Styela clava: one gene and its partners. The protein of the gene in region 3 interacts with the protein of the main gene of each other region in a pairwise test. Links are inferred from orthologs where the notes say so. Each region holds a gene or a part of one and is shown on either strand. Other genes may lie near its edges.

What was found.
Region 1: the proteins of tuftelin-interacting protein 11-like (region 3) and bystin-like interact in binary tests that used the Homo sapiens proteins (3 or more experiments, as listed by UniProt). The link is inferred for Styela clava from reciprocal best matches to the Homo sapiens genes TFIP11 and BYSL.
Region 2: the proteins of tuftelin-interacting protein 11-like (region 3) and exosome complex component RRP46-like interact in binary tests that used the Homo sapiens proteins (3 or more experiments, as listed by UniProt). The link is inferred for Styela clava from reciprocal best matches to the Homo sapiens genes TFIP11 and EXOSC5.
Region 4: the proteins of tuftelin-interacting protein 11-like (region 3) and leukocyte receptor cluster member 1 homolog interact in binary tests that used the Homo sapiens proteins (3 or more experiments, as listed by UniProt). The link is inferred for Styela clava from reciprocal best matches to the Homo sapiens genes TFIP11 and LENG1.

Annotation. Positions count from the first base shown.
Region 1 is NC_135262.1:15,086,966-15,094,516, forward strand, and holds bystin-like, read right to left. Parts: upstream 2,711-7,551; coding exon 1,400-2,710; 3' UTR 1,359-1,399; downstream 1-1,358. Other genes in the region: dnaJ homolog subfamily C member 27-like, read right to left, coding at 6,252-7,076; mitochondrial import inner membrane translocase subunit Tim29-like, read right to left, coding at 7,381-7,551. UniProt on the Homo sapiens protein: Required for processing of 20S pre-rRNA precursor and biogenesis of 40S ribosomal subunits. May be required for trophinin-dependent regulation of cell adhesion during implantation of human embryos.
Region 2 is NC_135253.1:19,713,741-19,722,010, forward strand, and holds the start of exosome complex component RRP46-like, read right to left. Parts: upstream 3,991-8,270; 5' UTR 3,960-3,990; coding exon 3,857-3,959; intron 2,886-3,856; coding exon 2,650-2,885; intron 1,790-2,649; coding exon 1,748-1,789; intron 763-1,747; coding exon 421-762; 3' UTR 1-420. Other genes in the region: uncharacterized protein LOC120326325, read right to left, coding at 7,506-8,270. UniProt on the Homo sapiens protein: Non-catalytic component of the RNA exosome complex which has 3'->5' exoribonuclease activity and participates in a multitude of cellular RNA processing and degradation events.
Region 3 is NC_135264.1:14,209,763-14,218,556, reverse strand, and holds the start of tuftelin-interacting protein 11-like, read right to left. Parts: upstream 3,448-8,794; 5' UTR 3,258-3,447; exon of another isoform or gene 3,253-3,257; intron 2,656-3,252; coding exon 2,453-2,655; intron 1,734-2,452; coding exon 1,593-1,733; intron 1,320-1,592; coding exon 1,150-1,319; intron 465-1,149; coding exon 265-464; intron 1-264. Other genes in the region: protein FAM81A-like, read left to right, coding at 3,860-3,900, 4,377-4,473, 4,932-5,069, 5,463-5,566, 6,238-6,367, 6,886-6,999, 7,536-7,664, 8,037-8,170 and 1 more. UniProt on the Homo sapiens protein: Involved in pre-mRNA splicing, specifically in spliceosome disassembly during late-stage splicing events. Intron turnover seems to proceed through reactions in two lariat-intron associated complexes termed Intron Large (IL) and Intron Small (IS).
Region 4 is NC_135251.1:20,484,814-20,492,352, reverse strand, and holds leukocyte receptor cluster member 1 homolog, read right to left. Parts: upstream 3,005-7,539; 5' UTR 2,890-3,004; coding exon 2,056-2,889; 3' UTR 1,283-2,055; downstream 1-1,282. Other genes in the region: palmitoyltransferase ZDHHC21-like, read right to left, coding at 374-489, 840-931, 1,082-1,253.

The DNA of each region.
Region 1 (7,551 bases), on a different chromosome or scaffold from region 3:
AGCGTTACTGTACAATGTATCTTAATCAGTTGAAGCAAACACCAAACATTAATTTCATATTATGTGATATATCTTTTTTTTCGATCTGAAATATTGTGTACTATGAACAACGCTCAAAGACCATTGTTTTAACCCGTCTGCCCTACACAGCACACCTAATTAAGTAATAATTACATAGTATCGGTATCGGAATATCGGCCTTTTTGTAGTATCGGCATATCGGTATCGGTATCGGCGTTTTTAGATGGTATCGGATCGGTATCGGTATCGGCGACAAAAGTGGCATCGATACATCTCTAATCTGAATTACTGCCCTGTTGTCTTTCGACGCTACTGTTGTAAAATTTTATTACTGACTTCATTGCTCCTTTGAAAAGTTACGAAAGTTACGAGGTAAATAGGAAAATAGCCATAGTTAAAGGGTCTTACAAAGTTTTGGGAAGATTGTAGAAAGGCGCTAATGCTGATTCTTCGTTTAACAACAGTAAATAACCAACAACAAGTAAATATACACTTTCTTACCCCTTAAGACTGAAGTAATTGATTTGTCCCTACGCAGAAGTTGTGAATTCATGCTATATTCATTAATACCACATTTGAGTTGTCATTGTTTTTAATAGAATTTATTTTACTATGCCTTCGCTTTCATTAGTAAACAAAGATTGTAATGTTATCTGTATAGAGAAATACTGTCATTTTTCTATGTTACATACGAACTAGTGTGGCTCGTTGGAGTTAAATTTTAAGGCTATAATATATATAATAATTTCATCACAAATGAACCATAGTTACTAGATGATTCTGAGGTGTGAACGGAATTTATTCCCGTGGATGTTTATAGTATGTGACGGGATCGCTGGACGCCTGGACCCATGGTTCAGCCTATCACTGGAAGGACCACGTAACCCGCTTGTCACGTGGCAGCAGATTTTGCGCTTCCATATGGTCATGAACTTTTCAGATTACACAGTTATAATGACAACTTTACTGTGTATAATCTTAATCATATTACGAACAAACAAAAAAACATGCTGGATGGCATGCTGGGATATGCCATCAAGGGCGACGGGATTTCGGTATTGAATTATTGCCCTCACTTATTCAGGGGCCTAGTTACTGAGACAACCGGCTGATGAAAACCAAGAGTCGACATTAAACAAACGAACTATAAACATGCAAAACTTTTTGATAAAGTGTTCTCAGGATATGAATCTCATATTTTACACCCAGATTAAAGGGACTCAATCAAATGGCAAAACACGCCTCTCGCTGCCAAGTAAAATGAAAATGTGAAGTTTTGCATCGAGATCTAAAACGCTAATACCTGCTACACTGCTTACTGTCAAAAAACAGTCAAAATAATTTTATAATTTATTGATTACAAGATTAAACTTCATTGTTATTCAGGTTCCTCCATTATAATTTCTTTGCTTTCCCTGGACATGAGTTGTTGTCTTATTTCTGGTGTGATCTTAGGATGGATTTGATACCTCAGCAACTCTCTCAAGCTATCTGCTTGTTCATCAGAGACATCATTTCTATAGGTCTCGACAAAGGATAAAAGACATTGATGCCATAACACTGGCAACTCCCTTTTGTCGTTACGAAACTGAGAGAAGTGGAACACAAGAGCATCAATGACTCGAAATGGTAGTGCATACTTTTTAGTAATCAAAGCTCGGAGAAAAATGCTGTTACCACCACTATAATGCATTTCTGCTATTTTGATCATTGCTGCACTAGCATGAAGAACAGGTATCGTGCATTTTGTGATGACGCTCGAGATTATTGTAGCTTCTCTCAAAGTACATGTACCTTCTTCACATAGTGGCAAAATGATTCCTTTAAAAAAGGCTGCCGGTTTGTAAAGCGCCTTTTTTAATGCCATAAAAAGGTGAAAGTTCAATCTTTTGTAGTAATGAATATCATCCCTTATACGTGGCAGTAAAACCAAATTAAAAAATCTTTGAGCCATGTGAACGTTAAGATTTGAAGCAAATATTCTTGTTGCTTGATACAACGCAGCTGCACTCCAAGTATCCGGCTCCGTGATATACAAAATCTCTTCCCAATTTTTAAGATGTGGTAAAACTTTGAATGCTTTCGGCAGCTTCCCACTTCTGTATCTAATTAAAATGCTTTTGACATCTTTGTAAACTTCAATGATTCTAGGATCAATATCCGGCATGGGATTTTCAACATCAGGCATTAGTGTAGAGACATCGGTTTTCTTTTCTGTAATTTTCTCCATGATTATATCAGCTAAAGTTCTTCTTGTTGGTGGATCAGGATTCATAAAAGCCTGTAATGCTTTTTCATCTTCTTGATTTATAACTATGTCTTGATCTTGATATTCCCCTGAAGCGGCAAGAGCAGCACTTTCTGCTAAACTTGGCCACTCATCTTCATCCTCATTTTCTGAATCGGAATTACTTTTCTTTCCTAGTTTTATTACAGTTTTAAATTTTGAAGCTCCGATCCCAACTTCTCCTTCCAGTTCTTTTTGTTGTTTTACTGCTGCATCAAGAATTTTTTTTGTTAATCGATTATCGACAAAATCATCTTCTTCTTGTCTGAATCGAACCTTCGGTTGCCGATTTGATGCCGCCTTAGTAACATTGTCTGCTGTGATATCCTCAACCAGACCAACTGATTGCTTCACAGCCAGAGGCTCTGCACGCTTCGCTTTGACTTTTTTACTTTTTCCCATTTTTATCTTGATTATGGTAATATTTGAAAATCTAAAATTAAAATAAAAAAGGTGGAAGCATGAAATCACACAGAAAAATATAAATTATAATGTTAAATATATATTTACAGCACCTGAAGTTAAAAAACAGTAACTGTATAAAACTTGCCACATGGCTTAAAGAACATATGTTGCAAAAGCATTAGAACAATAAATTACCACATGCAAATACTCAATTATGAACCCAGGTTCAGTGGCGCAACCAGGCCGTTTTCAACGGGGGGGTCCGACCGGAATTTACACAGTGCAACCACGACGTAAGTCGCAACGCCACTAGGTGTCGCCCCGCTGACCACGATAAATTGCTCATGGTTAAAAGGGAAACGCCATCGATTAAATCCCAGCCTTTCGCTTACCTTGCACTCGTTCTTAACGGCGCTTCGCTATGTCTTGCACCTCGTGGGTAGCAAAACGCCGTTCATTACATTCCAGCGAATTGCTAACGAAAAGCTGTTAATTATTTTCAACGTTTTCCTCGCTTTGCGCCTCGTGGATAGTGAAACACGGCTTGAATAAATTCCAGTGTTTCCCTCGTGCCGCGCCTTGCTCGTTGGGTGAATTCGTCAAGACTAAAAACAAAATGCACTTCTTGCGAATGGACCTTTTCCCGACCCTAACCCCGGAAAAATTCTAAACTAAACTGAAGCTCACCGGAAGACATAATGACAATTAAAATAATTGATTTACAACTAATTTTTGGAAACACAACTAAAAACTGACTAATTTAATGCAGGGATGTCCAAATCGAATTTAAATTCAAATATCGCAAACTTCAAATACTGTTTTTTCGTGTTTATAATAATCCCAAATATGGCGCACATATCCTAGGCGTCGTCGTCCATGTGTGGTTCGGCAATATATTACAGCTGACATGAAAGACTTTCGATAAACGCCGACTTGAAGAACTTATAAGACTTCGAGGACGTTTTTGATTGAAAATATTTTCTTATCGGGTATTTTAACTTAGTCGAGATGGTTTAGGCGTCCTCGGCAAATTGTGTCTTAATTAGTTGTTTTCATCCTCAGTTTCGATAGTGACCGAACATAACAGAAAATTTTTTCATTTCTTCTAATTTAGCGCGTATAAAATAGCCCTTAAATAGTATTTAATATCTATCGCGGATTTCGTTGGCATCCGGCATTGATAACAACATCAGTTCAGTTAAAGTTAGCGGTATTCATTTACAAACAAAAATACATAACAGCCGACATGAAATATTCAAATCAGCGCAGAATTCAATAATAAAACACGTTTTATGGTCTTAATATGCACATAGAAAGAAGAAAGGACAGAGAAATAACGACTAAGAACGGTATAGTATGTTTGTGTACTTTTGTTTACCATCGTCATCATAATCAAATTAGTTAATCCCGATTCCCAAATTTCCGTCCGCCAATAATGGAGAATGAAGATGGAAAAACGTGTTTTACTTTTTGAGTCAGCGTTGATTTAAATTTTTCATGTTATGTGTTATAATTTTTTGATTATAAACCAATACCTCCAACTTAAAATGAACGATATTGTTATCAACGACGTCAGGACTCGGGATAACGATAAAATCTCCGATAGAAACCAAATAATATTTAGAAGCTATTTTATAGATTGCAAGAAATTAAAAAATTTCCCGTTAAGTTCGATAACTATCGAAACTGAGGATGAAAACAATTAATTAGGACAGGATTTGCTTTTAAGTTTATTGCCGAGACGCACAACATATCTTGACTAAATTGAAATATACGATAACAAATGTAAAAAATTTTCAACCCAAAACGTCCTCGACGTCTTATAAGCACTTCAAGTCAGAGTTTATTGAAAACCTTTCACGACGACCGTTAGTTATTGCCGTGCCACACATGGCTGCTTTCGATTGCGATAAAAATGAAATAATTGTGGAATGTTTTTAAATCAGAACGTGGACGGGGGCGGTAGGATGTTTACGGCGTTTTCGGCCTTTCATATGTAGAAAATCTTAGGTTATTCGAAGCAATATTTTTCCGAAAATAATTTTCGTATCCAGATTTTCAGAGTTTCTACTGCATTATTATAACATGAAGACGGGCGGCGTTACATTGCGTCAAGATGATGAAGCACGAGAGTATTCGTCACAAGAGAGAGAGAGATAGCATTATGCTATTGTCGCTTTCAATTCGCATCGACAGCGCGCGATTTCTACTTTTTTGAGATAACATATCTCATTTTCGAATACAAACATATACGCGGCGTTAGCGATTATTACGTAACTATCAGCAAAAAAGTATGATTGAAGTCGGGCGGTGTTAAATTACGTCGAGGTGATAAAGCACTGGAAAAAAGTAGTTTTCACCCGATTGTTATGACTGTGGAACGACGTTGTTTTAACGTAGAACAATAATAAAAAAAACGAAATTCAAACGGGGGGGACACGACCCCCGTAACCCCCCCGCTGGTTGCGCCACTGCCCAGGTTAGTAGTATAAATTCTCAGACATGAATTTTTAGTAAATTTTGAAGCAATTCAACTTAGGAAAACATATTCCAATCCAGCCACTATTTTCCACACTTTCATTGAAAAAAAAAAACTATGTATAATCTGAGACTAACATAATAACTATTTTCCATAAATGTGGTACCACTACATTTAACAAACATGTGTGTGTAATAGCTGGAGACATTGATATAACCAATTATTAACTACATCAATAATTTTGTAATACATATGAGATAAAAGAGTTAGTAATGTGTTGTTTAAAATTATAGGTAAAATAGAGAATTAACTAAACAGAATAGTATACAAAATATTACAAATACAAAATTTTGAAATATAGTGAAAAATATATATTTTTCTCTAAAAATTAAAAAAATAAAGGCAAAATCATAAAACTATATTACTCCTCTTAATAATAAATACCGGCACCTAATATTAATGGAGAGTGTTTTGTACAGATATCTGACTCAAAATTCCATTAAAATTATGCAGAAGGAGTGAATATTTGAAGCTTTAGTAATAATGAGGATATCTAAGAATCTGACATCACAATTCACAACACAAATAATTAATTTCGATGAATTGATTTAGTTAACAGGTGTATTAGATATAATGGATGCAATATTTAAAAAAAACTTTCAATTTGACTATTGAATAAAGAAATTTGTTCAAACAAGGGCCACATGCACTCACTCACTTATATATTAAAGGGATTTCTCGAACTTTTACACCGAATTTAATCTGTTATAAGATTGCATTTGAAAAATTCTAAATTGTATGTACTTATTTCATCCTCGGTTTGTTGTTAGATATATCATTATGTGCTTTACTTTTCTTTCTCGTAACTTTTATGCAACTGCTTTTAAGGTTGAAGGTAAATAACCTTTATGACCAATAGAAATTGAGAAATATTCCCCCACTCAAGATTTTAAACGCCTGTGGGCCATATTTTTCATAATTTCAAATCGTTTGATAGATATTACATATAATAAATATATGGTACAAAAAAAAAGCACAAATATTCAAAAAATCAAATGATCATCTATTTTTTAACAATGCAGTTCTTGCATTGACAAGAAGTTTGAATGCATCTTCACTTCCAGGAGCTACATTTTTATCAGGATGAAGCAAAACAGCAAGCTTACGATAAGCTTTATTAATATCATCTCTTGTCGCAGAATGATGTACTCCAAGTTTTTCATAATTATCACGTCCATTTTTTATCCTCAATATAGCATCGGCTTGTTCTTTCGTAAAACCAAGATTGGTGTTTACAGGACCACGCTTTCCTCCATTTTCAGATAGTTCTACTAATGCATTAAACATGGCCTGGAACATTTCATTTACACCTTCCCCCGTACCGGCTGATGTTTCAAAATAATGAAAACCTTTTCCATCTGCCCATAATCTTCCTTCTGTTGTATCAACCACTCTGTTACCTTTATCAGTTTTGTTAGCGCAAACAAAAAATATCACATTGTCCATTTTTTGAGGTTTTCCAATTTCTTGCCGCATTTCTTGTAACCATGATTCAAGGCATTCGAAACTGACACGGTTTGTTACATCATAAACAAGAATTGCAGCTTGTGTGTCTTTGTAAAACTCATTTCGTACTTCGTAAAAGTAGGGATGTCCTGCCATATCGAAAATATTTACTTTCAGTTCTTTATCATTTACTTGTACTTTTGTGACACCATAATCAATCCCAATAGTCGCCAGATATTTATTTACAAATCTCTTTTCACAGTATCGCTTGATTAAACAGCTTTTACCAACTTCGGCATTGCCCATGCTAATTACTTTTACTCTTATACTTCGAGGATGACCTTTTTTACGGGTCAGTGGATTGGTGTTGGAAGACATAACTAGAATGTTGTTAACGTAAACCTAAACAATAAATGACATTGAATTAAATGTAGACTAACAAACTGGATACCAGATAAAAAATGCTTGGAAAAAACAAAAGCTAAGCAATTAATTACAAATTTTTACTCCGCGTAGTTCAAAACATTATGAAAACCATAACAAACAAATAAAAAGAAACAAATTTATGACCTCAGAACTGATGAATTTATTGATGTTTAACCACATAAAAGTTTAAATACCTTGTAGTGAATTAAACAATTTTAATAGGTGATTGAAAAAAGACAAAATACCAGTATGTATTCTATTCAACAACTTCAATTGCTTTTCTAACTTTTCTTTGCTCAGATAAAGGAATAGCAGGATTTCCAAAATATGAAATTTCCAATATTCTGTTGAAAAAGTCTTTTATTTGTGCCCATGTGGAATCAAGGTCTTTTGGAAACTCTTCAAAATTTATATCATAGTCTGTTGT
Region 2 (8,270 bases), on a different chromosome or scaffold from region 3:
TAATAGTCAAGTGAAAAGATTTTAAGAACAAGACCTCAAATGCATTAGGACCAGTCTTCTTTGTGCAGAAACCTTAGGATGTTGTGCAGTAATGTGGAGAACTGCATTACGCAGGAGGCTCACACGACCGTTCTTGGAATGTCGTAATAATCAGCGAGAGAGCTGAAATGTTAGACGACTGAAGGAAACATATACCTCGTAACACAGATGACAACTAGCCTTATATTTGGCGTCTCTGAAGTTTTGTATTAGATTTATGTAAAATGGGCCATGTTGATGTAGCCTCCGTAGTGACATATGATGGAACGAATCTGTTGTGACTTTGATTCAAAAGAGAATCCGTTCCTAGGATTTCAAATAGGCCACCACCATTCACTGATCAAGGCCATCCGATGGCAAATGACCAAGTATCACGAAGAGTCATGTAAAGTCAACACTTGAAGAGACTTTTTTAGCAACAGAATCTCTGTAAAATTTGAAAACTATTTCACTAGCTGTCCTTGCAGCTATCAAGCACCTTTTGTGCAACACAGGGTCTATTGTTCCTTTACTAATAATTGATATAACATTTCTTTTCACACTATCTAATACAAACAACATTGAAGCACTGGCTTCTTGCTCCTCAGTGGTGGCCGGAGTCAGTACTACTTCTTCCTCTCGTGTGTCTCCTTCACCAGGTTCTGAAATTCCATATTCCATTGCTCGTTTCGTAAGAGCCATCGATATAGCAGCTGGCATGCATGTCATGCTGATTCCAGCATCCTGAAACAAGATTGTAGGCATTTGGAAATGATATAAATGCATACACACAGCACTCCAGAAATATGTGTACCAATATGAAGGTAAGTAATTTTGTTCGCCTACTTTACATCAAGTTGTGTAAAGGGACTGAAATGTATAGACTGGCCAACACAGACAGTCTCTGAACTCGTAATAGAACTAAAATAAGGAAAATCAGAATAAAATTATAGCCTCGCCTGGTACACATACTACGGCAGTATCCACAAATCCATTACCTTTGATAGAACGTTTACATGACCACCCTTATTTGTTCTATATTTGGTGGGGAGCTTCTATTCATCTTCATCAGGAGTAATCAATTTACCTCTGATTATTACTGTGGGCCGAAGGATATTTAAATAAAAAAAATGTGTGTTAAAGGACTGTTGAGGCTTATTGTGGATTCTTGATAAGTTTTGAGCCCACCCCGCAAGGGTGGACGCACCGCTCGTATTGGAGTTCTAGAGCATTTCGAAATAAATATGAAACCATAATTTTATTACTTTCACCATATTTATATTTGTCAATGACATACCAATCCACATTCCAGAACTTATCTGAAAAACGATCCAGAGTTTTCTTGTCCCCGAGTGTCACATTAATATCAGGATTTTCAAATTTATCCAGGGGGAGGAGAAAGCCACAATAATGCTTATTCATGCAACGCACCACAGTCTCAAGTAGTCACTAGTCCACGTCTGGTATTGGATCTGATAGCAAGTCATTTGTTTCGAATGCAAGGACTTGATGGTGGAGGAAGCCGTAATTTACCCGAGGAGTCTAGAAATCCTCTCACACATCATATATTGTGGGATGCAAATCCAAACGGGGTAATCAGAGGAGCGATTACAAAAGTATTCCCGCTGCTCAGCCGAATATGCCATATGCGAATATCTAGAATTCATTGATATTGATATTTGGCTGAGCATAAGAAGTCTATTAAATAGTAAAAACATCAAACACACACCTGTAAAGCCATGCTGCATCCATTGATAGCACAAGAAAGAAGCTGTTTCAAATGTAGTTAAGGAACTTTGATGACAAATCTTTATCGAAATGTCTTGAACCATTCAGGGCCAAAACCAAATATTTTAGTATCCACTATTCAATACAATTCATACATCGTAAAATAATCTTATCGAATATGAAATACATTCTGAAATGGGTCTGTTCAACAAGAGATATATTTAAAGACAATTGTAAATTCATAGAAATCAAATTCAGTCATGCAGTAGAATTTAAATTAACATTTGTTCCAATCTATATTCTCTATTTTAGTTGGTCAGTAGTTACTAATTTTTTTCTCTATCATAAAATAATAAATGCTAATAAAGAATATAATCTGAATTATTCCTAAAATCAAGACTTTACTCAATCGAATATAACTAATTTTCGAATTATTTGAATATTTAATTCCTTCTAGTTCCAGGCATCTCTGGCTTGAACCAGTCAAACTCTTTAAACTCAAAGTTATAATCAAGTCTACTAAAACTCAAATTCCGGTTCTCCTAAAATCAGTAGCTTCTCAAATAACCTCGGATATCAATGTCTGCAAGTACAGATGGGCTTGTTCAGGGCACTCCAAGAATGTGTGTACCAATATGGAGGTAGCTAAGTTTGATCGCCTATTTCACATCAAGTTGTGTAAAGGGACTGAAACCCATGGGCAAGGGGGATATTCACTTGGATAACACAGACAGTCCCTGAACTCATTATAGAACTAAAACCAGAAAATTATGATAATATTATGACCTAATCCTAACCTGGCACATATGCTACGAGAGTACCCTGCTCAGAGCAAAAGACACAAAATATTCGTCATAAAAATGAAAATAAATTAGTAAATCTGAGGTTTTTAATAAAGGATACAGATCCACAATCTTGAACAATTTGTATAATAATCATTATTTGACTTCTTGGATATAGATGTGTCATGATGACATTTTCAAATGTATGCCTTATTGTGTGTTCCAAGTATTTCTCCGCAACGCCAGGAATCCCATCTTTGGGTCGGAATGAAACTTCAATTGTACTTTTGTCAATTAATTGTTTACTTTCTCGACAATCTGCCGGTCCATAAACTGCAACGAGGACATTTGTGTCACCTAAATTGAAATGGAATGTGTTTAAAAATAGAGCAAATAATAAATCTGGAATTGATCAATTGAACTATAGTTTGCCATCTCTGACTTAGATGATCATATGGTTGTATGGTATCGCTCCCTCTGGTCTTTACCGGAAAACATTGTGTACATTCATTGTATTTTTACTTTCATTTTTGGTTGCAAATCAATAAATCTATATATCTATTTCTGTTGGAAGCATGGAGTTACTCTATTGAAACAACTGTTCTAATTATTCTTTGATATCCTGGATAGTGAAATGTTCAGAGCAGAATATAAATTATGTGACTTTTTGATTGCAGGAAGAATATTTTGCCTTTACCCAGAGATGACGAGTAGATTTGATTTCGCAGGTGGAATAATTCTGACAAAAAGTTTTCGGCAATATCTCTAAAATATAAAACTTGTTAACTGGTCCCGTCATTGCATCCCATTTTTTGAATAAATTGTTACTGAATTACCAAACATGGCCATGTGAATATGCCATTGCCTAACAGTTTATCAAGTCGCTATTCACAGTTTAAGACGATTAGTGAAAGACTTGATCAATCAATTGGTTCATTCTGCACCTCACTCAATGTGTAATATAATAAATTTGGTGGGAAGTGGAAAAGTAATTGTCATTCCAAAATCAGAACACCAATCTTTTTCTAACCTTAAGCAAACACCTATTTAAGCTCAGATTAAAACATCTTATCATAAAAAAAACGGCGCTCCAGAAGTATATATACTCATATGAAGGTAACTAATTTTATTCGCCTACCGGTACGTTACATCAATTTGTATGAAGGGATGAAAGCTTATGGGCAGGGAGTATATTCTTTTTGCTAACACAGACAGTCCCCGAACTCATAATAGAACTAAAATAAGGAAAATCAGAATAAAATTATGGTCCAACTCTAATCAGGTACACATACTACGAGAGTACAAAAAAACACAATAAATTGAAAAACCTTCAGAGTAATCAGCAGATCCATCAGGATTGTTGAGAATATTTTGTTCACATCTCATAACTTTCATGTCAACAGTAATACCGGGCATCTCTTTCTGCTTCATTGTTTTTATTCTATCACAATGTACACTACAATGAATCCTTGTATATAAAGAAAAACAGAACAATATAAATAAGGTATTGCAAAAATGTAGCAGTAGAACCAAAATTGGAAAATGTCCACTCGGTGGGTTTGTTGACTTAAATATTTGTATCAAAACTTATCTCAGCATTTTCTTTTAGAAAACAATAGAGCAATAGAAAAAAATGATATGTTGACCATAACCAACGTGTTCAATTTTTCTTGTGGCCTAAGAGCAAAATTTTTAGTTTAGAAGGAGTTTCATATCTAAGTAAGTTTTCATAAAACAGTTTGAGAAGAAATATTTGAAGATCAAGCATTTCTAAAGCAAATGTGAGATATAAAAAATTTGCAAATTTGGTAAACTAACCGATTTTAAATAGAGGCGAAAAATGTTATCAACTATGTATAGTTGGAACATAACTAGCATTATCATAGATATAAAAGCAGAAAAATAAAATAATGGCAGTAATAAGCTATAATATATATCAAGAAATTACATTTGAAGACCATAATTGTCTGATACTAGTCTTGCATGTCCAACTGCAAAAGACAGCAATTTAACCAACATTCGGAAATTTTTAATTTTAATAATGAAACACTTTGCTCTGTATGTGGCCCTGCATAAGACCCCACTGATATCTAGCAATATGTGAGAAGTTATTATTTTTGGAAAGACTGGAATCTTCAAGATTCAACGTAGTACACCCTGGGTGAGATTGTTGTGAGCATGAGATTTGAACCATAGTGTAACTATAGATGTCCGCACAGTTAAGTCTTAGCACTTTAGGGTGCACATTAGGTGCACATTAGAGATGTACCGATGTATCGGTATCGGTATCGGCAATATCGGTCATTTTTTTGGTATCGGCCATGTATCGGTATCGGTTAGATTAAGGCCGATATTACCGATATATTTACCTTTTTGATATGGTCCAGAATGTTTTAAAAGATAAGTTGGAATACTACTTTTTAATTTATTTTTGTCTGGAGAGATCGTGAGCCATACATGTCCCCACCCCCGCGAGAGAATAGGATTCACATGTTTTTAGCTATTTATCAGCTAAACTAGCTCAACTAATTTGGCTATTTTCGCTGTCAAATTTTTATATTGACATTTTTAATATTACATAGTTTTTATGAAGAAATATATCAACACAGCACATAACAAAAAGCAACTAGGCGCCCAGTTTTAAATCATGCAGTGGAATTGGGGTCCTTCCTTATTAACGGCACATGGACTTTTGGCACGGGTATAAATTCTGACTGTTTGTCGTCAAGTACGAGTGTCATTTAGTCCGTCGACATCGATAAACTAAATTCCGACACAATTATCCCTCTACACAGGTATTAATTTTAATTCTGCTTAACTACACGATTTCTTTATAGATATATTGACTTGACCGCCTAGCCCTAGACTGTCTCAAAATATAAGATAGCAATTGTAAAATATTATAAAATAGTGAAGTAAAAAAACATCCTCAACGGTTATCGGTGGGCCTTCTTTTTGTCGGTGCTGATTGATATTCTTTCATGTTGGCTTTGACTTATTGCGTCGACGATTACGATTAGCCACTGAATTAAATATTTGTAAAATGCTTTTAATTTGAACGTAGGACGGCGGCGCTAGAATGTGTGGGTGATATTCGATATTCTTTTAAACACGAATAACGATATTCGAAGCTCGCGATATTAACATTAAATTCAAATTGGACATCTCGGCTTATGAGTTTTCTAATTAAACACCGAGATTACTAGCGTTACTGTACAATGTATCTTAATCAGTTACAGTATATGGATACCAAACATTAATTTCATATTATGTGATATATATATCTTTTTTTTGATCTGAAATAATGTGTACTATGAACAACGCTTAAAGACCATTGTTTTAACCCGTCTGCCCTACACAGCATACCTAATTAAGTAATAATTACATAGTATCTGTATCGGAATATCGGTAATATCGGCCTTTTTGTAGTATCGGCGTATCGGTATCGGTATCGGCGTTTTTAGCTGGTATCGGTATCGGCGACAAAAGTGGTATCGGTACATCTCTAGTGCACATGGGCTTCTAACCCTGGTGCAATCTGCGATGCCCGAATAATCAAGTCTAAAGCTTTAGCTTGGCTATAGCACCCACTTCAGTTGGTTGCACCAAAACCAAAGTTATCATTCTGATAGCATTGATAGAAATGTTGAACACATGATCATATGTGTGTCCCATTTGGTGGGTTGATGTACGAAATTTGCTCAGTTCAGTATGAGACACATATACGTTATTGTCAAACAATTAAACAGTGAATACCAATTTACAATAATGAATTTCAAATACATAAATACAGTATACACAGAATATGGTGTGTATAAATGTTTAGTTTCTCAGTTAAAAATCATATTACTATTATATAGCGAAAGTTGATCTAAAATTTGAAAAGAAAAATTAAATATTATCAATTATTTTGATTGCATTGGTATGCTGCTCTATTTTATGAGTTATGACTAACATCAAGACTTTATTGCTAAGCCTTTATATGTTATTGATGAAGGTATATAAACAAACATAAGATATTGATGACAGTAAATCGCATCACAATAAAATAAATTTACTTGCATGAACAATACTCTTCTTAGTTATTGTCAAAAAAAAACAATGTATTTTCAGACTATTCTTCAGATTAACAAACCTACTGCTGGTTTCTAAAAAAATTAATTTTTCTCTGAAAAAATATATTTCCAATACTTCTCAATATCTTTGTATTATATTCAAAATCAAATTGAAAAACTTTATTCATTATGTTATGCACATTTACTGATCATCTGAAATGGAGGACAGATATAGGCTAAAAATGACTTCATCAATTCAAAACAAAATCAGTATTTAACAAAATTGATGACACGCTTACATGACCTCATAATAATGGCAGAATATTGATACATAAAGAATACCAGTGCTGATCAAACATTCAGAATCGGTTATATTCAAAATAGAGAATATTTAAATGACACATTTATCATTTATAGCTAATGATACAAAAATGGACAAAATAATAGGCTTCGGTCAATTCCATATGAAAAAAAAATAAAACAAAATTTATCTTTGCTCTTCTTAGCTGTAATATTGCAATCCTATGAATGTACAATTATACATGCATGCATTCTGTAGACATAACTGGATAGATTATATCGGGCATTCCTTATTTAACGAAGTTTACAGGATGTACTCGAAGTATGGATGTTTGATTGGGATGTCGAGCGAAGTAGTTAAGTATTAAATTTGGGCCATTTCAGGTTCTGATATGTCATATGATACCATTTGCATTGTTGTGACATGATTTTTCTTCATCTTTCCATCAGACTATCAAGCTAAAAACCTTTCCTTAAGTTGCTGTATATTTTAACTATTGATGCAAAGTTTGTTTTTTCTGGTTGACGAACAATAAATCTCTCTCTCTCTCTTCATGTAGTCAAGACTTTCATGGTGAGTGACATCAAATTCAGATTCGATAGCGCAAAAACTAGCCACGACTCATGTAATTGTTGAAGTTGAAACTGGGACGTCCTTGTTTGTTGACAAAACAGGGGTCACTGCTACCGGTCTGTTGATCACATCTATTGAAGTATAAGCAGAGGTTGATGGAGAACCAAGTGGTTTAAAGTTCCTTTCAATTTCATCATCGTCCTCAGATTGAGATGATTCTGGATCAGTTAAAATTTGTTCAATTTCGTGCTCTGTAATACTTGGTTTACGCACCAGTGATGCTGAAGTTCTCATCAAAATTGAACTTTTCAATTTCTGTTTCGTGTAATCAGATATTGACCCAGTTCGAAGTAAAGTCTTGTGTGGTCGTATTTGAGAAGTTTTATCATCCTCTATTGACACAGGCATTGAGGTTGATCTTAGAAGTGGTGCTTTGGGATTACTATGTGATAAAGCAGCAAGCCTATCCATTTGCGGACTTCGTTTTAAAATTGAAGATTTCCCAGGTTCAGGTGTTATTCTATGTTTTGCTGGAGTAAATGCGCTTCGTGGTGAATGAGAAATCCCAGAGAATGGCCGAGATGGCATAATTTTTGTATAAACTTGCGAACCCTTTTTAACAAGAGTTACCCCGGATTTAGTCACAGTTTTGGAAGTTGTACAAGTGTCAGACTGACTAGATATAGAAGAACTGGTAGATGTATTATTTTCCGATTCTTTTGAAATAACACTTTTTGCATCATCAATTACAGAAGTGACATTCAGTTTGCTTGCTTGAACAGAATTCGGATTATCATGCAAACGTGTGTATGA
Region 3 (8,794 bases):
GTTAGCCATCTTGGTTCACATACTACAGGAGTACCGGTTTTTCTATTTGACAGATATGAATGCTCAGTAAACTAAATCTGTAGAATCTGTGTAGAAGGTTTCGTGTTCTGTAACCACAATCGAAAAACTCAAATTTCTGACTCCGGAGAATTCCGAATCAGACAAGTTTGAAAATACGACTCTACTCTGGTAAAAACATTCTAACCCTGGAATTCACAGCCCTGAATACGAAGACATTTTATTCTTCATTCAAGACATATTCACCTTAAAATCCTTTTCTTCTTCTTCCTCTGAATCCTGCGTTGGAAAATGAATGTACGATTGTTTTGTTCGTTCGGTTCCTGCCGCTCCTAATCCGGCTTTCTTTGTTCTTTTCATTGCTTCGATTGGATTCACGATACCTTGATTATCTCGACCCAAACCCTTACCGACTTTGTAACCCATTTTTTTCATCAGTTTCATACCTAAAAAGAAGTTAATTAGTTAAAAAAAAGGGACATAACAGAGATGCTAACGAAGAGGTCATTAGTGATTATATTGTATCGGTATAATCCATGGGTTCCCAAAGTGCCCCATTCAGAGCCCCAGGGCTCCCTGAGAAAAAACCCAGGGGCTCCGCGAGCTATTGTTTACTTATTAGAATACTGAATATTTTTTAAATATGAATTCATCCAAATCATTCAACAAAGCAATTTTGGTTTTTTCAAGGACATCAAACGGTAAATATTAATGTTTCTAGATGTGTTTTTATTTTTATAAAACAATAGTCAACCTCTTTATGGGCTCCATAACTCCAAAAGATTGAGAACCCCTAGTATAGTCAACGAAACTTAACAGAGGGGAAGAGTTTAATTTGGTTCAAAATAGTCTGTGGTCCTAAAAAAGGTTAGACACCCTATTCTGGGTGTCTGACAATATCTTCTGTTTAGGAATCATAGGATAACCACTTTAGGGGAAGAACAGTGGTCTGATGGTCACACAAACGGGATTCATGTAAGCAACATCTACCCAAACAAAAAGTTGTGTTCGCCCCAGTTTTACTATCTCATTTAAACAGTAGTAATGCAGACAAAATGTTTGTTCCCCAAGTTTTAAGCTTTCATTTGTTAAAGAAAGACTGAAATTAATAATGAAATACTAATAAATTACCTATTCCCTTTGTATGCCTCTCAAATGACCCAAATTGCGTCGCCATTTTTTCTTTCTGTTTTTGTTTCGCTGTTAAACTATATGCATGACCACCAGATCCACTAGTCCCAACGGCTGAGGTCGAAGGCTTAGGCTTTGGTTTCTGGACTGAGTGTAGAGTTACAGGTTTGCTGAAATAAATATTAGTATTGAATATATTATAAGTTCTTACTCTAATACAGAGGTGTGCAACACTATTTGTTGATGGTCCATATAACCCATTTCAGACATTTAGCTGGGCCACAAAAAAATTAGCGGAAAAGGCGAGAGAATTTGTAACTTAATTAATTAGTTTCATGTCTCCTTAAAAAATTGTCTACGTTCCCCACCGTTTGAAAACCACTGCTCTAATAAAAGCAAACATAATTATTTTATAAAAATTAAGAATTGAAAAAACAATATACGTTTCTTTAGTCTGTCTTCCTTCAACATCATAATCATCCATATTCTCTTCCTCTTCTGGATCATATCGTTGACGTTTTTCTCCTTCTTTTAAACCTCCACTGATAAAGGTTACTGGTGCTGAGAAATCGCGTTTCTTTTTGCTGTAAAAATTAGAATGTGTAGTAGATAAAAAAAAAATTGTTTTGTCACTAAAACCTGTTATAAAATTTGAAAACACAAATTATCAATACTTTACTTAATGTTCATTTTATACTAAAAAGAAAAATTTATCCTAATAACTTTTGAAGCATTATCAATGAGCTTATAACAAATTTCTTAATAATTTCAGTCTTGAATAAATTTTTGAATTGATGCTTAATACGATAGATCAGATATACATTGATTCCACATGTCTTTGAATAAGTTGGAAGCGTTCGAACTCTTGTTTATCATTCCAGTTCAAACAATTCATGCCTAAAAAAGTGATGACACTTGTGAAATAACCTTCTCAAGCAATGAAACTAGAAAAAAAGGGGAGTTTTCTTGTAAACTGAAAAGTTAATTTTGCATCCAGCATTGCATCCCCCTCCAACTGCTCCCTGAACACCGTAGAGGGCAACGGCCCCTGGTTGGAAATCGCTGCTTCAAACAATGATTGTGATGCCATAATGGTTATAGTGTTGGCATTGCGCATTAAATATCTCAGATCCAAGCCTACACTTCACCCAGGGCATAATAAACTGGAAAGAGAAAAGGTCAAAGATATTCCGGGTCATAAAAAATAGTAGTGCATACTAATGGTTGCCTTGTTTGGAGGAAATCTCACATAAAAAACAAACTAAAAATCGATTTTTCAATTTGACAGTCTTGAATAACTAACCCATAATTGTTCTCAGATGATTTTGCCCAGATTCCATAAAGAGCTTGTTCCTTTGTTTGCTTGAATTGTGGTCGATCTGGATTAAATTCGTTAGCAATGTCATCATTCGTTAATTCGAATTTCTCCATCTCATTCTCTTCTTCACTATCAGCGGCAAACATGGCCGCTATTTTTCTTTGACGGTTCGACATTTTGGGAGGCATCTGAAGACAGAATTAAAATGGTAAAAATGAATAGCCTATATTAATGAGCAGGAGGTTCGAATTTTTTTAATTTATCGCAGGGATGAGGATAAGATGGCTTAATCATAAGACAACCAATTGTCTGGGTGAGCATGTTGCGTATCGGGATAGTAAACAAGTCTAGTAATTAGTTTCACATCCATAGACTTGGTGGATGCGGTAACTGACCAAACAAGAGCTACGAGTACAGCAATTCCCTAGAACTGTGCTTCCCAGCCAGTGGGTACCATATTCTTAATGCCTAGCATAGCACTATGCAACATACAGCATTTGACTATCAGCAATAAAAAACATAAAGATAATATATTAAATAAAATAATATATATAATATGTATATAGGGTACATATGTAGATTAGATATGCTTTTACAAATTTCCTCATTTTAAACATTCGCAAATTCATTCAATCATCCTAACAAATTCAGATATTACAATAAAGCAAGGAAATGCCTGAATGAGGTCTTTTGGTTGTTCGAAAATATAGTTTTATAAGCCCAGATACGGTACCGTACCTACTGAGATATGCTGCTATCTGAAATGTATAATTATTACAGCTTACCGTACCTTCAGCAAGAAGAAAATCCAGTATTATTTCTCCTCACGCAGTCACCAGGTCACAGACTCATAAATATCCACAATTTTTTTGTCCTTTCTCCGTTTTTTAGTGACAAATGATTTCAAAAGCGTCATAAATCCCGTAAAAATAATTAATAGTATCGTAATAATTAATTAATAGTAAGGGAGATGCGAAAAAACATCTGCAAAACAAAAAACAAACGACATTACATTTTAGCCTTTAGTTTTCAGATATTGCAAGAAGTGATGAAATAAAATAGAGAACATAGCTGTGAAATCCATATTACGGTACAGAAATACGATCTGGCAAAGTTAGCATTTTTTATTTTTTTTTTTATTTTTTTTTTTATTATTTTTAGTTTCCGAATTAGATCAAGATTATTAATCATTTTTTTAGAATTTTGAATATCATGGTTTTGATTACCACTGTGAATATTTACTAAAACTCAATGGAATCGCTAGAAGGAAATTACTGACATGCATGAACAGTTACGTTTCCAACAACGCTGAGATTTTTGTGTTTTGGTGACATTTCGTGGATTTTGCGTTATCAAAATCTCCCGGAAAAAACACGGAAAGATTGCGAAGTTATGTCCGATAACGGTTACGACGGTACAGTCGTTGTTAGAAGGTATGTGCTGAATTATTTTTTTTATATACGAAGTAATATAACCTTGTTATGAAGACAGAATCCAAATGTTTCCAACTTTTATTGCTGTTATTTATAGATGACAAGACGCGTGTTTGTTCCGTTTATGGTACCCTTGATTTATGACCATAAAGTTATATTTTATTTACTTTTCATGCTGTAGATCTATAGGAATATGATTGGCGATATTCAAATTTTTGTAAACCAGACATAACTTAAGTTTATGTCATATTTTAGTATTTGAAGTTAGGCACAATATCCAGATATGTTTTTTTCTGATTTCTATTGCGTGGCAAGGTTATATATACATGATTAGACATGGGTAGTAGAATTAGCTATTAGCGATTACATAAACCACTATTTTGCAGTATTAATTTGAAAACATTGACTTCCAAGATTGGCTTTCATGAAATTGAAGTTTTTATGTCTAAATGAAAATAACTTCTTGATATATTTAGATCTGATCGTCGGGGTAATCGTAGATTAAATCATTTGGAGGACAGATTGTTAGAACAGGAAAGAGCAACTAAATCATTGATTGAAAAAGCATTTGAAGTAAGTTTCAACAATCGTTTCTTTTACAATTACTATTTGTTCGATTTGAATATATTTTCAATCTTCTTTTTGCTGTGCACTCTGTTATTAATAACATTGTTTTACTGCTTCTATCAATATGATATTTAACTCAAATTTGTCTTAATTGCGGACTGGAGGTTTTGATCTAATTAAAGCTTCCCAGCTTATCTATAATGTAAAAAGTCAGATGATCAATGTAAAGGGCAAATAGTATCCTCCTTCACATGACAGAGCCTTGTTTGCAGTTTTTTAGGTTCAAAAAAAGTTAGGCTACTCAAGTTGCTACTCAAAGCAAAGTGACACAAACTTACTCCGAAATTAAGGAGACTGATCTCAAAATGAAATTACGGACGACCACTAAATGTGAATAGCTACTTTGACTATACTAATACTTAGGCTATACTTACAGTAAAATTTCTTTATTTTTTTATTCTCAGTTCAAAGAAGCTTTATCCAGTGATATTCGACCATCAAGTATGGATGATGCATTGCAGCAATTATGGCACGAGCATATCAGAAGCGTAACAAGCTCTGTTAAAAAGTTGAGTCGAGATGTTGAAGAACTTAAATTTGAGGTAACTTTTTAACTCGGAGTTTATCGGCATAAAGCCCTAGCTTTCTGTCTCCGTGGGCTCGTATGGAGCGCTTTGATGACATATAATTTAGAGTTATACTATGATGAAACCCTGCTATCTAAATTTTTTATCTAACGATAGTATATGACTTTTCTCTGAACAAGACTCTGCACAAGTCAAGTCACCACTGCTAGATAAGGAGATACCATAGTTTGGAAGCGCCGTAATCTTATCAGTTCGATACCGCCTACCTAATTCATCAAATCCAGGGTAAGGCGGTGGTTGTGGAATTCGAACCCAAGATTCCATTTAGTTATGTCATCACCGTTAAGTCGAATGCTTTACCCATCAGGACCCCATATCTGATTGTTTTTGAAATGATTGCATTGTCAGATTTCATCCAGAGATCGTGGAATAGTGGATGCTTCCTATCAAGCTAAAAATGTTGAACAATTTGCTCATGCGGGGGTTGCCGATCTGAGAGGTCGTGTGGCAAGGTAAGACTACTATTGTTTATTCTATCAATTCCACTCCGTTTTTGTCTTATCAAAAATTTAGTTGCTTTTAAAGCTAAAGCATTGATGATAAGTGTGTAGAAGCGTCGCTGTTGGCTAAATATCTGGAATGATATTGTACAGTATTCCCGTATTCTTTATGAACAGACGAACTTTTTCTAGTTTTCAAATTTGATATTGGTGAAAATAAGGAAAAAATATGGCGAGGGTTGAAAATTGATTATGGAAAATTACCACTTTTTTTTGAGGGCAGGAAATAAGATGGGGACATAGACGAAGTAGATTGATTAATTTTTATGTGCTGTATTACATTGATAGCAACTATAAATTACCCATTGATTTCTATGATTAGACAAAAAATATTTTTAATTTGATTGCACACTCCATGGCTACTCAGTTGTTATTGTTTATAAAGTTAGTAATAGATAATCTCTGGCTAAATTTGGAGATGATTTGGTAAATGTGTTGCTGTTGACCAGCTGCCACTTACATATTAAATGTATTCTCGTATAAATTGGTATTTCAATTAATTCTTGCATAAGTTTTTTTGGATATTTTCTCAATTTAGCATTTGGTCCATCTATATGAGTTTTGCTTTTATAGTTACTCCAAGATTTCAGTACATTTTGCTAAACATTTTTTTAAAAATTTAGATGTGATGCTCTGATTGCCAGACTTGCTCAAGATGTAAGGTCGGCAACATCAGCCAATGAACTAGATAAAAAACATGTTGATCAAAGCACAGACACAAATAAACATAAGATAGATCATCTTGAAAGAGAGGTTTGTAGCTTGTATATCTATAAAAGTATGCAAGAGTTGAACGCTTTGTAGGTTTTTGATTTGTTTTACTATATTGACATTTTAGCAAAATTTCCTTGGTTGTGTCTTGTTTGTGTTTAATTTGAACCTCCATGTCATACTCACTTTCAACTTTTATATTTTTGTATGCAACGAGTTGTTATACCTTCCTGGGCTAATATTGATTTTAAATTAAGAAATTTATATTAGGTATTTGTTATTAATATTTATTGTTAGACAATCATGGTCCAGACATAAATGTGATAAGCATGTCCTACCTGAATGTGTGAATGCCAGATGGATGTTTCATGTCTTCAGTTCTGTACACCTTATGTCTTTCGCTTTATCCTATATTGTTCATTATCTAGTACTGAGAAAAACAGGCTTTCCAATACGTTTGCCAAAATCCTTTCATTTAAATTTGGTAGTCTCCTGCCATTTGTCTCTTCAATTTTAGTGTTCAGTGGCTAATACTGCCTTTTTCCTCAATTGTGCTTCAGATTTCTGAATTGACCAGAAGACTTGATATTGTGATGACTCAGCAGGAAGGGAAAATAGAAGTTATAAAAGGAACAAGCTCTTCCCAACTTCAAGCTATGGATTCGAGAATGAGGGTGAGCTTGCACTCATGTGATGATTTCACAAATACAGTGAAATTTGAAATTTTTTTAAATTATTACCTACGATGTAATCGATGAAACTTGTTTTTGAAACATGTTCGAAATGATTAAATGTTCAGCGAGCGTTATTATGACAGATCTGAAGCCTCTTAAATGCAAAAGTTGAGCCATGATATGCTATAACTTTAATGACAGTTTCTACTTTCTATAAACCTTGTTTGTACAGTTTTAACGAAGCACTGTAAAATCATAACATTAGCCGAATGAAAATACAATAAAGATCGTAATGTTTGACAACTTTCACTTTGATGAAAGAATATGTTAGCAAACAAGATATATTTTATTCAAACTCATAACAAGGCCCTGAATTAAGCAGCCAATGATATACAAGGACAAAGGTGCAACTATTTTTGGAAGGACCTAAATCTTTCAGGTTCAGCATTTACTACTCCATCCAATACAACGTTGGTGTGGCCATATTGCCAAGTGGGTAATGGGATAACAATTGAATTTACGGTTTTTCTCTGCAGCAAGTCTTGGAAGACATCAGACTTTCCATAGATAGTAATCGGAAATGGTCTGAGAGTGAACGAACCAGGATTGAACATCAAATTTCACAAATTATGGAACTGAATGCATCTCTGGCTCAAAGCAAACAGGTGAATAATATATGTCATTGTTTTTAAAGAGCCAAAATATACAAGAGAGCTTTGATAGCTGTTCCGCAACTATGCCACTAATATATAGGGAGTTATATGTAATGAAATCCTGTCTGGCATGAAAGGAAGCTCCTGAATGTAAATTTTCTCATGTGTTTCACTCTGATTAAGAGGCAAGACAAGCAGCCAATCTCTTTGATTCGGCTTCATTAATCCCAAGCCAAGGTTAGAACATCAAGATTATTAACCTTCAAGTTACTGCAACATCATCACAGTCAGCTCCACCGGACTAACTATTAGACTGAACACAAAGCATAAATTTCCACATCCTAAAATTGATAATTCAAAATATCTTATTTATTATCATGGCAGGATGCAATGGAAACAAGATTGCTGGAAAAGATGGATTCCTTGCAAAGATCAGTTGAGGAATGCAAACTAGACATAAGTAAAGTCAGAGAAGAAATGACTTCAACATTGGATAGCAGATCAAGAATTGGATCCATGTAAGTTGTCTGGTAGTTATTTTTATTTTAGAAGAGCTAGCGTATGTATCCTGTTTGTCAATGAAGACCAGGAAATCCTTTTTTTCCCTATGAACAGAATTGTTACATTTTGGGTTTTGTTGCACATGATACCACTTTAATTAAAAATTTGACATTTATTTAACACATAGCTACCCAAAAGCAATCTACTATTTTTAATTATGTGCCGGGGGGTCAAAGGTCGGGGAAACGTCCATTAAACCTTGTTGTTTCTGCTCATTTCTAAGATCAATTTTATGAAATGTTAAGTTGAATGGGTTTGTCCATCAAGAGTTGATATTCAAATACATACTTCGAGCTGTATAAAGAATTATAATACATAGAAACTATTCATTTCAGAAAAAAGAACTTATTTATCTATTTCATAGTAATCAACTATTTTCAGAATATGATCCTTATTTTAGGGTAAAAGACCTCGGTGACAGATTAGATCAAGATATCTCAAAACTAAAATCCGAATATCGAGAATCATTTGCATCAGTGAAAGAAAGTATCGATACAACAAACCGATTAATCAATGGGAAAATAAAGCTGGTGAAAGATGAAATGACCAGAGATATAAATAATATCAGAAAAATGGTTGTT
Region 4 (7,539 bases), on a different chromosome or scaffold from region 3:
TACCAGAAGCCTATTGATTTTGGATGAATTATGTCGTATAATTAGCGAGTTATTAATTAATTAGTGATGGGACACAAGGTGTCACTATGGAGTAAGAGCGCTGTTTTGAGGGATCCCCTAACTTTCGATCGATAAAGGTTCGGTCTCTGATCGATATTTATTATTCTCGTTTGTTATTTAGTATTCTACAAATAACAAGAGTAATTCAAGCATTCAGAATCCATATTCTTTGTGAAAGAAGTTCATATTTAAAATGTGTTACTTATATTTGATTTCACATTCTGAATCATATTTAACAAGAGTAATAATGTTAATTTTTTTAAATCACGAATATGACCACTTTATTAAGGTTAATTAAAGTCAGCTATATTACCATTGACAATGATGATCCATATTCAACACACAATAATTACACTTGCTACAGTGATGACTTCTTGGAGGTCGAGCCATGCAACATCGCACACATTTTTCCCATGTTCGCCAATCAATCTGACAACATAAATAATAAGTAAATATATGGAGGATGAAGACCAATAGCATATATAAAATCCAATGCGATAGAATTCAAGTCAATTGAGAATGTTTAGCATATTAGGATGAACGTACTACCTCCTTCCTTTGGTATCTAACAAAAATACTTCTTCATTAAGATAACATATGGACTTGAAATATACTAAAAACCAACAAAACCGAAACGAACATATTACAAAATATATTTCTTCACTCATTGGCTCGCTAAAAATCATAGTGCACTGTTTAAGGGATACTAGCATGAAACTGATAGCTGAAAAAAATAATCGAATTTTTAAAGAAAGCAAAATATTATAGCAAAATCATACCTTTGTATCTTCAACCTTTTCTACCTTTCCAGGGTCTGAAAACATGGAACGGAAAAATGCAACAATGGTTGCAATGCTGAGAAAAAGATATCCTGAAAATATGAAATATATTGTATCGCCACATTCTCATAGTGTTATAAAATATATTTTTGATGTTAAAATAATTTGCATAAGCTAAACACTTGTTCTTTGCGCCAGGAATTAAATTTTAAATATAAAAGGAATTAATTTTGAAAGCTTACCTGAAATTGTAATGCTAGAAATATTTCCATCTTTATAATGAGGTACGAGAATTGGTAGAAAAACTATGAGATGACCATACATCCATATAAATAATACAACAGATGAAGATATCAGCCCTTTGCGATCCCATAATAGTTTAGCACCAAAAGGTAACTGTACAAAGTCAGCCATATCAATTTACAGTAAAAATTAAAACTACATCTTGAAATTCAAAAACAAAAATATCCTAGTTAATAACATTGTTATATAAATCAATGCGCAATATTATAAATATCAATGTCGATATGATTATAAATGTCAAAACGACAATTTGTATTTAAAATCACTTAAACTATAAGTTACGAATAAGTTCAGAGATCTTGCATCACAAATGTTTCTCGTAGGACTCAATATGGAAGAATAGAATCTCTTTTATATTACCCGGAAAAATGCAAATTATTTATCTGTAATCTGTGTAACAGTTTTAGGGAACCACAGAGTCGAAGTGACTCAGATCATTTAAACAGAAAGATTTTTCCAACCACCAGAGAGAAATGACTTGGGACTAAAGATAATTTCGGTCAAAATTTTGAAAATGAAACAAAATTTTGGTAAAAAATGATTTACCACATACTGAATTGGAAAACCAAAAATTTACAGCTTGTAGAAATAGGCCAACTCATATTAGGATGGGTTGATGGAGAGGTAAATACTGCAATACATTATTAAATCCAACACTGATTAAATTATCAAAACAACTCTGGTTAAACACAAGACAAAACTTTTGGTGTTAATGTGAAATGCACGACGACTTGGACTGGGCTCACAAATCGAATATCAGAGATTTAGCTTGACTTGCAAATTAGGCGCTTAGACCCAAAACTGGGGTTTAAAATGTATACAAGATATCTAACTGATTTGTTTAATCACAGTGATACTGATAAAATATATTGTGAAAGACGGGACCTTATTCAGAGATAAAAACGATCTGATATCAATATTTAGAATGATATTTTTGTCTCACAAGATGAGGATTATATTGGGAATTATATCGCCCTCGTTCAATGTTATAATTATTAGATGAATTGGATTCTCCATTATTTAAAAGTGCTATAGTCCTTTCTCTTTCCTTTTTCTCTCGCTTAAGTCTTTCTTCTCTTAATTTCGCTAATTTATCATTAGATGAACCTGATCGGCGTGGGACAGATTCCTTTTCAAAAAGTTGATGTTTGTGTTTTCTCTTATGTTTCTTTTTCGTTTTTTCTTTTCTCGATTCCACAAGTTTTTTCTTCTGTAAATGATTTTGCATTGCTTGGATTGGATCCAAAGAATTTTTTCTTTTCAAATCTGCTTCTTGATGATCCTCGATAGACGAATCCCCTTTTTTACCATCTGAATATCGCTTTGGTGTTTTAAAATACCATGGCTTGTCAGAGTCCTCCATTGTTTCCGCTGCACTCTGGCCCAAGTAAGTCAAGAGACCAATCTTCTTTTCATAATTCACTTGTTCTTCTTTTTTCTCTTTTTCATGTTCCACATTTTTTATTGATGAAGTTGCACCCCGTTCAAGTGTTGAATTCGTAAAGAAATTTGTAGGTAAAAGACTTTTCTCAGATGAGCCTTCTATTTGTTTAAAATCAGCCCCGGTTTCAATTGCTCTTTGACGAGCTTTATCTCGTAGATGTTTTGTTCTTGCTTCTCGCTCAGCCAAAGCAGCGCGACGATTTTGCTCCTTTTCCTCAAGCCTTGCATTCTCTTCATCTCGTCTTACTTTGGCAACGTTATCCTTATTACGAACATGCCAACTCTTCTTTGGCAGAATATTCATTTAAAAAATCCAACGAAAACCAACTTTAATGTAATAAATACTGTTCAATAACATTCATTCATACTGCTGATTTAAAATGTTCCAAAACAGTATACTGATTGAAGATTAAAGAAAAAAAAATTGTATTATGATTGGGCTTTAGTAAGGATTTGACTTACCTAGGTTGTAAGTAACATATAAAAACAGCTTAGTAATTGGGAAAAAATGGTTCTCCTTCTTGAACTTGACACACCACAAATTAAAAGATATAAAAATACAAATATAAAAAAAACAAAGTTGTTTTATTAAAATCAACCCAGTTCTCTCGTCTGTGATTGCATCATTGTCGGGAAGTCCAAGCTTTCGAAAACAAATAACTGGCTAACTAATCCCATACCCGACCTGGACTGGTAACCGGACAAGAGGCCGTGGTTCACCATACGATTAAGCCGTCTTATCGGCTTTCCTCTCCCCCGGGATAAATATGTAAATCCAAATCCAAAATTGCAGTAAATAAACGATAGGTACCGGTACCATACGGTAGACTGTCATTCTCATCATACTGCCCTACGGCGATGAAGAACTCAGCAATCGAGTCCAGTATAGTTTAGTACCACAGGTACTTACAGTGGGCGTAGCATAACGAATTTTGCATATGTTATTCCTAACCCCCACCTGACTATGCCATCCAAAAATTACGTCACTACGACGTCGCCATCACGTCATAGGTCTTGCAAAAGTATAATTACGATCGCCTGAAATGACATCTGCGCCGCCGATAACGAACTCGCTAAAGCCAGCGATCTCTCTCCTATCGTGATCGTTGTGACGAGAAAACAAGAGAGATACCGTAGCTTGCTCGATTTCGGGTGCTCGTCTGCGCGTTTTGGACGACCATTCGCATACTTCTGTACTTTGGTGGTCATTATTACGCCACTGTGACGTCGAAATGACGTACCGGTACTTTTTGGGTGACGTAGTCAGGTGAGGGTTAGGATTGACATATGCAAAAATTGTTGAGCCAGGCCAACTAGAAGTGCATGTGGTACTAAACTATACCAGACCCCAGCAATCTTCTCGGTCTTGCAGAAAACGCGCCCTGTCTAGTCTAACAAAAACAAAATGACGATGAAAAGTTAACACAGGTGAATGTGAAACTCAAACTTTAAACGAGCAAACATTCGACCCTACTCTCTCTACGGCGCCCTCTCGTGTGCTATGTTGATCCTCAGTTTTATGCGACGTTTTGTCCGGAACATCGAATTTCTTGTTTACTTCCGTGACATTGGTAATACCGAAACGGTGTTGTAGCAATTTATCAGGCTATTGAGTTAAACATGTTGGTCTGTTAGTTTACATGGCTGTTTCAAATGTTTTTTTTAGACATATATTCATAAATTCCCTCTAGATGTGTTTCCACGCCAAAACCCCATCTGGTGACAGCAAATCATTCTTCAAATGTGAGTTTCGAGACGTCTGCAAACATTTATATTTTAGTTCCGCGGGTCAGTGGTTCGCCATCCCTGATATAGTGTCACAGATATTATATTATAAGATATTATATAAAATAATAAACAACGTTAGACTAGACCAGGCCTGCACAACATGCGGCCCGCGGGCCACATGCGGCCCGCCAGATACTTCTGTGCGGCCCGCGGTTGATTTGGAAACACGCCACTTCTCGGGTCTAACAATCAAAGCCGGCATTGTTATTTATGCAAGCGAGCCGCTACGCCGATCATATTCGAAATCGGGAGGTTTATGTTTTGCACTAGTTTCAATAAATATCGAACTTTGTGTGAAATTGGTGTGCCCTTCGCGACCCTTAAAATTTGTTGCTCGACCTCTCGCCCCAAGTTTGGAAAACTCTGATTTAGATATCTCAGTGTTCAAACTGAATCACGCTTAAAACAATATCGGTACAATCTCACACCCATTAGTGCATATTAGCTACCTATTGATAATTCCACTATTTTTTACTAGCAGTTTATGAAACAGTAGTTTCTTTTTCAAATTTAGAACTTAAAAACAATTCCTTCATTTATGAATGGTGCAGGAATTCTCGCACAAAAGATTTTGCTGTTTACTGTTAAATTTCAAAAAATTGGAGCAGATTTTGTAGAAAAATGTAATTTAACAGTCGAAGAAATATTGAAAATGAAGGGTGGGTTTTCAAGGTAGTTGAACCACTCAATACATATTTGCCATCTCATATGCAAAAATACTGTACCTTGTCTTTACTCAGGAAAATAAGATTCTTCATAATTTTAAGCCCCCCCAGTAATGAAAGTGTTTCATTAAGTTTAACTGTTTCTCGCCCCAAGTTTGGAAAACCCTGATTTAGATATCTCAGTGTTCAAACTGAATCACGCTTAAAACAATATCGGCACAATCTCACACCCATTAGTGCATATTAGCTACCTATTGATAATTCCACTATTTTTTACTAGCAGTTTATGAAACTGTAGTTTCTTTTTCAAATTTAAAACTTAAAAACAATTCCTTCATTTATGAATGGTGCAGAAATTCTCGCACAAAAGATTTTGCTGTTTACTGTTAAATTTCAAAAAATTGGAGCAGATTTTGTAGAAAAATGTAATTTAACAGTCGAAGAAATATTGAAAATGAAGGGTGGATTTTCAAGGTAGTTGAACCACTCAATACATATTTGCCATCTCATATGCAAAAATACTGTACCTTGTCTTTACTCAGGAAAATAAGATTCTTCATAATTTTAAGCCCCCCCAGTAATGAAAGTGTTTCATTAAGTTTAACTGTTTTACAATATTATTTCGATTTGTAGTTCATTTTGTGAAATATGTATGTGGCAAAGTTTGCGGCCCGCCGAGCCTTCAAATTTATGCTTGCGGCCCTCGTGGTAATTTGAGTTGTGCAGGCCTGGACTAGACTAATCAACAACTTATAAAGTAATATCTGAAGATGTCGCTTTATTCTGACAAACTGAGAAATGCTCGGAAAAAAGATGAAGAAGAAAGATCCACTTTAGATAGGTCTAAATGTATGGCCTTGAAATTTGGTGATGACAAGATTGTTAGAAGAGAAGATGTATGGGATTTATTCAGAAAAGTTGGTATTGTGTTTGAATCAGTGGATGGATTCTTGATGACATCTAAAACCACAGTTGATATACATACAAAACCAGAACAACTGCGATAGATGTCGATAAGAAATTGTGGGAGATGAAAAGAATAGGGGCAGAAAACCTACTACTACATAGGCTTTATGTTCCCGGAAATGTTGCTGTTTTTATACATCATGTACCAATCCCATTGAAGGAAATTGAAATAAAAGAACACTTTGAAAACAACCATGGAAAAATAGGAGAAGTTCTCCCATTAAAAGACAGGTTCAACATAAAAAATGGTATTCGTAGATTTTTTATAAGAAAAGATGATATTATGGAAAAACCCATCAAGAGTTATGTCAAAATAAAGGGACATTCTCTTTTCGTTAAATATTGGGGACAAAAACCAACTTGTCGCATTTGTGGCAAAACTGGTCATTTGAAGAATGCATGTGAGGAATTCATTCCAAAATTTGTAAAATACAAAGATACAGGACAAAAATTAACAAGTCCAGAAAATGTAAGAGATGACGAAACCATATTAGCACCCAGACAAGAAAAAGAAACTACACCCAGACAAGAAAAAGAAACTATTGATATAGAACCAGTAAAAAATGCTAGCCCAAAACAAAGCACACCAGCAAATGCAGAAGAATGTATAACTGTATCAAGTTTACAACCTGAAATGTTTGGCAACATCTCAGACATCAGTGAAGATAATGAAATTAATGGAAAAGGGAATGAAAAACAGATGCACTCTGAGAATTCGACAAGCAAATCTAATTCATCAGAGAAAACTATATTATATGTTTTGGGACGAGACAAACAACAGCAAGAAAATCTAACACAAAAAATATCTACTAACACTGATTCAAATGAAAGATCACCACCAAGAAAGAAAAAAACGGGGAGAAAACAAAGAACTATGACCATAAAAGAGGCAAATGAATATCTTCAGAGTATGAGCGAATAACACTTGTAATTCTTCTCATATTACCAAATCAAAGAACAAATAAGAAATAAAAAAACACATATAATGGTGCTGTATTTAACAATATTAACAATTAATGTAAATGGAATAAGAGACAACCAAAAACGAAAAGATGTTTTTCATGGATTAACCAAGCAAAAAGCAGATGTGATATTTTTACAAGAAACGCACTGCACCCCAGACGTTGCATTAAAATGGCGCCGGAAGTGGAAATGGGATACAAGTTTATGGAATAGCGGGAACTCAAACTATAGGGGTGTCGCTATATTAATTAAATCAAAACTGAACAATTTTTCATTTAGTAATATTTCTTTTGACAATAATGGAAAAGTAGTGACTGCTAATATAAACATCCATGGAGAAATAATTCATTTTGTTAATATTTATGCCCCCTGCAGAACAAGCATTATAACACAAGAAAACTTTTATAACAACAGCTACAGATTCATACATTCACAGTATCCTGTTATTTTGGGAGGTGACATGAACTGTGTTCATGATGTTGACCGTGACCGTGATAGATCGGAAAGCACCAAACGAGCTAAAAAGGAATACATTTCTGAGGCGTTAAATGAACTTATAGACACCTTTAATT